Coturnix japonica: one gene and its partner. The protein of the gene in region 2 interacts with the protein of the main gene of each other region in a pairwise test. Links are inferred from orthologs where the notes say so. Each region holds a gene or a part of one and is shown on either strand. Other genes may lie near its edges.

Region 1 (3,567 bases), on a different chromosome or scaffold from region 2:
TGCCAGGCCCCGGGCCACAAATTACTTCATTTGATTTTAGCTGCTGAGCTGTGATGTCCCCTGTCTCTCCAGACTTCAGGTTAGTCAGTCTGAAGATAAAAACTCCATTACCTGGGCATCTTTTAGATGGGACAGCTCACAGTGGAGCTGGTGAGCCAGCTGCAGATTGTGAAATCCTATTCAAGGCAAATCCAAAAGGTAAGAGAAATCTTCCAAATGAACCAGTGTCAATGGCCTAATGCTTATCTTTCTGTACTCAAGCATACTTAGCAATGCAGTTGCCACTTTTCTCTACAAAGGGTTTTCTATAAGCTCACAACCAGCTTTTGCAAGCTATTTTCTTGTCACTTTCCCCTTATGCCTTCAGAGCTCTGTGAATTGGTTGATACACAGCCATAGATGTGGAAAGTTCCATAAGGCAAAGTCAGCTAAGAGTAACAAGGCAGTAAAACTAAATGCAGGGCATATCCGTAGCTGTCGTGGGAAGTAAAATGAAGATAAGCAAAGTGAGGGCTGCCAAGAGCTTACACTGTATAGGGGACTCCTATGTTAAGTTTAAAGACACCAGAGATCTCACATCTCAGATGTTTAAAGCAAGAGGATTAATAAGCAAGAACCTTATGGTTCATAGGAAACCGAAGGTTGGATTAATCTGGGAAGAAACAAAATGGTTATAGTGAGGCACAGGCTAAGAATCCAACGCTTATTGATTTTAAAGTACAGGAAACTGTCCCATAGGGCTACACATAGAATTGAGTAAATGTATAGAGAAGCAAAACTAGAATACATTTTACAAAGGTGTACAACAGCTTCTGAAATGACAGAAACTGAGAGATCAGACAAATGCATCTCACCTTTGTTATAGTGAAAATAAGGAGAATGAAGTTTCTTCATATCAATACATATCATCTGCCAGGGAAGCTCTTACTAATTCTTTACCGTTAAGGAGTATCAAGCTAAGCCGTTTCTTTACTATGTAAAAAACTACTGCTGTGTATTGCATCACTGCATGTGTACAGCACGTCATTTCAAAAACACAATTATGTTACGCAACTGAGTAACACCCTCATCAGTGCAACATGAGGAAATCCTGCCTGTTGCTATGAACAAACAAGAATCCATCTTCCCACCTTATCAACTTGAGTTCAAGCCTTTCTGTGAAGATGGTCCTGCTTATACTACGCACTTGGATGACATCTGTAGCTCTGGCCTCTAGGCAATATGTCAGCACATAAACTGGCACAGTCTGACAAAAGAGCCATCTGGGATCCTGCGACTATTCCCTTTGGAAAATGTTTAATTGATAAATGGTATGATTTCAACATATTCACCACTGAATTTCATGGCACACAAACCCATATTTCCATAAAGACTTTATTTTTGTATGTAGAGTACATTAGTTGAGCCACTTAAAGACACAAGTTAACTGGTGAAAATACAACAAGCAACTAGAAATCCACTTGACCAAAGTCACCTCCATTTAAACAAACACAGGCTTCAGAGTTACCTTGAAGTTGATTCTGTAATTTCTTTTTCTCAGGATCCTCTGACTCTCCTTCCCCATCGCTGTCATTCCTGATTTGGAAACCAAAAAGAAACATTGAAATACATCAAGACTGCTATCCTGCGTTACAGATCAGAAAGCAAGAAGCAGAAAAAATATCACTCAGAAGAATGAAAACCCTTATGATTTTAGATTCATTCAGCTTTCTACAAGTTTATATCCTTGCTTTTCTATATTACATTCTAATCCCCCTCGCTGCAACCAATTCAACTTCCTTACAGACCTGAGCCCTTCCTCTTAACATACTTATACGTGTGTTGACTCAGCCTCTAGGAAACAAAAGCACCGTGGAAGCAGCAAAATGGTTTCACTGCAGATGCTGGCACTTACTCCTTGTTTAAAAGTGCAACTGGACTTGGTCAGTTCCACTAAGCATCACAAAACTCTCTATAGTCTTGTCAGAAAACTGGAAATTAAAAGTAGAATGAAGTAGGTGAGATAGGGAACAAATGGAATGGAGACATGTAGCCTCGTGCTTCCTTCCACTATAAACCAGCAGAACAGCTCAAAAAATAAAACCCATTATATGAGCAGACAATGAAAGACGCTGAAACCTCAGGTGAGGTTTCAAGAGACAAGTGAGCAGTGCTGGCTGTTCAAGGCTACCAGAAAGGGCAACCTCACTCAGAGACACCATTGTGAAACCTTTCTTCTACCCTAGAAAATACGAAAGAGGCTCTGCTTGTTCAGGTGGGCTGATTCAGCTCCCAGATGTGCAAAACGAAAAACAGATCTAATAGAAGGAAAGCAGTGAATAGGCAGGAGCGAGGCAATAGAGCGATTCGGAACATTGGCCTATGACAGAACCTCGTTACCTCTCATCAGATGAGAGACAGATAGAACTCAGACTACAGAAATCATGACCAAATCTGAACTTATTTTCTAGTTATTAGATATTCGCATGCAGAATTGTGTCACTAGGCTCACTGTCATTGAGCCCAAAAAGCAAGTATGAGTGCAAAACAGCTTCCATTCTTCAGTGAATTTCCTATGAAAGCATTCAAAGGTGTAGCAAACAAGAACAAAAAGCCTGTGATATTAATTCACATTATTTTTCCTTTCTAAGCCCGCTGTACCTCAACATTAGTAGCTACCTGAAGTGAAGCACTTCAAAAACACTATTTGCAATGATCTCTGAAAAGCTGAATCGCAGAATAAGCCGAGTTGAGAAAGTATTTTGCTTTACCTTTCCCCAAAACATACCCTTTTCCATCAGCAGGACCAGACTCTTTAACTGGCTTTGGTGCAGTTTTTTCTCTCTTTTTCAGATATTCCTTCAGTTTTTCTGCTCTGTCCAAGTATTCTGTACACTTCATCCTAATGCTCTGCTTTGCTTTATCACCCTGTACTTCATCTGAGAGTTTGAAGAGAAACAATGCTTTGTTAACAGCAAAATACACGTGCATCATTCAGAAAACATCTTTACATTGTATCAAGATCGCTCTCTTGGGGCTTACCACATATCCAAACGTTTCATTGACTTATTTTTACCCCTACGCCATGGAAAGAAGTGACAGGAAAGAAGTTAACACCTACAAATCAATGGTAAGTAATCACTTATAAATCAAATATACACCTGAACATTGCCTCGCCTTGAAAACTTGACTGAACAGGAGTAAGGATGATGGCACTAGAAGCTTTTTCAGCCCCTCAAACTGCTATGACATTTTGCTGGCCAAGGTGATGAGCGTGACTGATATGAGTAAAAAATGCCATTGGAAAAACCATAGGAAACTAAATGACATGAATTAATAAGCAAAAAACAACCTGTGGATACAACTAAGAGTTCATACAGGAAAGAAGCAGGTATGCAATATAGTGAGGATACAAGCTGCATAATATAACACCTCAGCCACACTACAGAAAACAAATGTCAATGATAGTCAGAAGTTAAATGCTGATGTCAATAGAGGAGACTACTCCAGGCAATATAAAACTTAATCACCCAACGCATTACACTTACATTTAACAACATGGATAAGATACTGCACAGCATGCTGGTA
Region 2 (4,011 bases):
GTTAACTGCTTTCCTTAATGAACATGCAGGTTTGCTGGAGATTCCACGTGTGTTCCAGACTATCTCCCACTCCCTTCTGCAGATATCAAAAGCTTCAATGTTTCTCCAGCTGTGTTTTGAATTCCTGCTTGCAGACTTCAGTTAAATTTGTTATTTTGCTATAAATTTGCAGCCCAACAAACAGGGAAACGCAACATCTAGAACGTTCTTATACTAACCACTGTTCATTTTCACCTGCCATTAGCTGTGAATATTAAATGGAGGACTCAAACAATTCAGACACCTGCTGTGAGCTTTAGGTACGCTCAATTGCATAGCAGAAGAGGATGTGCATCTAATAGACAATTATCAGCCCACAGTGGGCATTGCCCATGTATAATAATGAGGTAGAGGCCTGCTATTAACATTCAGTTTCTGAGATACATGAATTACTATTCACCAGACAACAGACACCAGGGACACCATGGTCACAGGTTTAGGATTCAAATGTGAGCACTGATTTTGAGAGGCTCTAATCAGAGATCATCACATACTATATACAGCCTGGAAAACCAATATGTAAGGATTTAATCTTAAAAATCAGAGTAACAGCAGTAACGATTACACATGTATAGGTGTATTCCTGTGTATGTACAAGCAGCTGTTACACAACAGGTCTGTGCTCAAACAGCCATTTCCACGAGCTTGTGGAAATGAGATGAGGAGTGTTTGTGTCCAAGATTCCCAACCTTACCTGCCTTGGGACTGTCAGGGTTCCTATCTGGGAGGTGAGTCAGGGCCTTTGAGCAACATGCTCTCTTAATCTGTAAAACCAGGACAGAGATTTGCCAGTCACTTCTATGAGACGAAAGCAGCCTGAAATCAAGCACTACAGAAACACACCCCAAAAATCTACCACTCCTAGGTTTGTTTTTGTTGTTAAAGTGTATTTCCCTGACATAAGTTGAGGCTACAGCACCAAGAAAACAAGAGTAAGGCAGAAAATAAGGGCAAGTTTGGCACGCTGATCGTACAGCTGGTTCCTCACCTGGACGAAAACTGAAACTCAGGTTCCAGATCCAGTTTGGTGACGGTTCGCTGCTTCTGTCACAGCGCCCGTGTTTCAAACGACGCTCCCCGTACCCGCTCCCGTCGGGCCGCGCGCAGACGCGGAGGGGCGGGGTGGTGCCTGCCGGCTGAACGCGGCGCTGCGGAGCGTGGTATGGCGGTGTTGGGAGGGCCATGGAGGGCCGCTGCTACGGGTGTGCCTGCAAGTTCAGCCTCTTCAAGAAGGAGGCAAGTCCGGCCGAGGGGTCGGCGGGGCCGGGCTGGGCCGTCGGTGCGTCCCGTCGCTGTAGCCCGGTGCGGGTCGCGCCGCGCTCCGCCGCTCGGGAGCTGATCCGCCCGCTTCGTGTCCCCGCAGTGCGGCTGCAGGAGCTGCGGGCGCTCCTTCTGCTCGGCCTGCCTGAGCTGCAGCGCCACGGTGCCCCGCTGCGGGAGCGCTCCGCAGAAGGTGTGCAAGCAGTGCCACGGGAAGATCACCGGGTAAGTGCCAGCGGGACTGCATCCTGCCTTTGGTTTTTCCTCCCAGTGTTCGTGGGTAGACCGTGATGGCCCGGCTAGGAGAGGCCAGAATAAGCCCCGCTATTATTTTTGCCGTTTGAAAGGATGATCTTTCAGATGCGTGGTAGTTTGGTAGCCTCTTCCTTCCCTTGTTTGTTTAATATCGGTACTATGGATTTAGAGCAGGAGGAATTCTTCCCTGCGTGGATAGCAGGTAGATAGTGTGTGTTGGCTGTGGTTTTGTAGGCTGCGTGAGTTGGTGTTCTGCACTCACCCAGCTTCCACAGTTGAACCCTTAGAAATGGTTGAACCCTTGAAAATAGTCCAGTGAAGGTGTTGCCCTTGTTTGCCTTTGCCTGTCCTTAGCACAGTGCAGGTAACTGTGCCTTCTAAGAATGAATAAAGTGTGCTAACTACCTTATGTAAGCATAGGTCAGCAGCTTGACACAAACACAGAGAGGCAGAAAACAGTTACACAGGATTGACTGATGTTCAAGTGCCCTAGAAGATGTCGTCACGGTACTGGTGATTACATAATTATTTCTGTAACGTTTTATTTAGCTTCTGCATTATATAATTTTGTGTTTGTTGCTCCTTTCAGGGAGCTGTACTGTATGGAAGCTAATTACCTTGGGAGTCCTACCTAACTGCGCTCTCTGCTTGCTGAACTGGGGCGTGCAGGCTCTGGGAGGCCAAGAGTCTTTCAGCTCCTCCTGGTGTCCAGAGTAAATGAAACAAATTTTGTCCAAATGCAAAACAACAAGAACATAGGACTAGGAATGAAGTCACCTCCTGTCTAAAGCAGCTGTATCATCTTAGTCACTTTCATAAGCTGATCACTATATTAATGGGGTCATGAAAGAACTGTACCAGGTGATCAATACACACGTATTCTGATTCCTCTTGGGCTGAGAGAATAGATGATTGAAGCATTGCTGGAGCCTTGAGTTCAGAGATAACAATGTTTTTTATGTTTCAGACAAGAATCTCAAAGCAGTTCAGCAAAATGGTCACCACCAGAAAACTACAAAAAGTGAGTTACACTTGCTGATCAGCCACCTGTTTCCGCTGTAGGGTAACCTTTCAGACCTTCAGCTCTTAACCCCTGTGTCCTCATAGAGTCCAGCAAAAGAAGGAGGTTGTGATGTGGATGTTTGCTTGTTCAATATTGGATTAAGGATGGGCTTTTTGCTTTGTGGGCTTTTTGGTTTTTTTTTTATTGGTTTTTTTTTTTGTTTGTTTGTTTGGTTTTTTTTGTTTTTTTTTTGGTGGTTGTTTTGGAGGGTGGAAGGAGACACTAATTCTGAATACGCTCACAAACAACAGCCTGTCTGTGTTAATCTTTGACTGATTGTGGTTGGCTTGGAAATAAGTCTGCTGGTGAAATGTTCCTTGTCTCCTCAGAAATGTCACGGCTGCTTCACCTGAGAGTTATGGTTTTCCTTATTCATAGTAGTGCTTCATTGTGCTGGTATGGGAGAGCCTGGTACAGGAATGAGAGGCTTCTTTTCTATGCTGATGTCCTTCAAATAGCTTGTGCTCATAGAGGATGTTTTCAAATCTCAAGATTTAAACCTCTGTTTTCAGTTGTCTTTTTCCATCCCTGTCACAGGCGCGTAGCAGCGTTTGAGGCTAAGCAAAAGCATCTGAAAGGACAACAGAAAGCAGATGCAAAACCACTCAGTCAAGATGACTCCAGATACCGAGGGCTCTCCAAAGAAGATAGAGCTATTGCAGAGAGACTGGAGAAGCTCAGGGAGGAAAGGAAACCCAGTGAGTTTTGGAGGACACCAGAAATTCCCTGGAAGGGAACGCTGCTACTTAAAAAACTATGGGAGGGAAAGGGAAGTGCTGGGCAATCAGTATCTGCCTTCTCTGGGAACTGAAGGCAGTGATGTGATCAGAGCTGCCACAGTGGCCAGGTTCTAGATTAATCTTCCACTTGGGATTTCTCTTGAAATCGCTTCACAGTCCTGGGGCAGTGTCTTACCTATGAAATCACTCCCTTATTTTTCATTGTTTGGTGGTAAAAATCTGTTGGGCACAGTAGCAGCAGAATGGAAGGGGGGGGGGGGGGGGCAAATCATTTTGCAGAAATCATCCTATGTGTTGCTGTGCTGAGTCACAGCAGTACCAGTCTCTGTGGGGTTATACTGTGAATTTTGCCTCACAGAGAACAAAACCAGGCTCTTATCCCAGTCCACAGCTGTCAGATTCTGGAACAGCCTTGGAGTGACTGTTGGAAAGTAAACCTTTAAAAGAACTTGCATATGGTCTCTAAGGGGGAAAAGGCACTCCAAAGTGGTTACCTGATAATGCAGGCAAGTTTTCAGTCTGATGCCTGGGAATATGTTAAAGGATGTGGGAGCAGTGGACTGTACTCCCTAAAGGACATGTGTTTCTCTGCCTGTCCCTCATATCTGTAGTCAGCTGATTGCCAAATGAGGTTACACTAACACTGGTCTTAGG

Evidence for each region.
Region 1: the proteins of ZFYVE19 (region 2) and VPS4B interact in binary tests that used the Homo sapiens proteins (3 or more experiments, as listed by UniProt). The two-hybrid records come from large-scale screens. The link is inferred for Coturnix japonica from reciprocal best matches to the Homo sapiens genes ZFYVE19 and VPS4B.

The regions. Positions count from the first base shown.
Region 1 is NC_029517.1:63,124,782-63,128,348, forward strand, and holds part of VPS4B (vacuolar protein sorting-associated protein 4B), read right to left. Parts: coding exon 3,528-3,567; intron 2,919-3,527; coding exon 2,768-2,918; intron 1,576-2,767; coding exon 1,508-1,575; intron 1-1,507.
Region 2 is NC_029520.1:21,663,479-21,667,489, forward strand, and holds the start of ZFYVE19 (abscission/NoCut checkpoint regulator), read left to right. Parts: upstream 1-1,147; 5' UTR 1,148-1,221; coding exon 1,222-1,275; intron 1,276-1,402; coding exon 1,403-1,524; intron 1,525-2,521; coding exon 2,522-2,575; intron 2,576-3,154; coding exon 3,155-3,315; intron 3,316-4,011. UniProt on the Homo sapiens protein: Key regulator of abscission step in cytokinesis: part of the cytokinesis checkpoint, a process required to delay abscission to prevent both premature resolution of intercellular chromosome bridges and accumulation of DNA damage.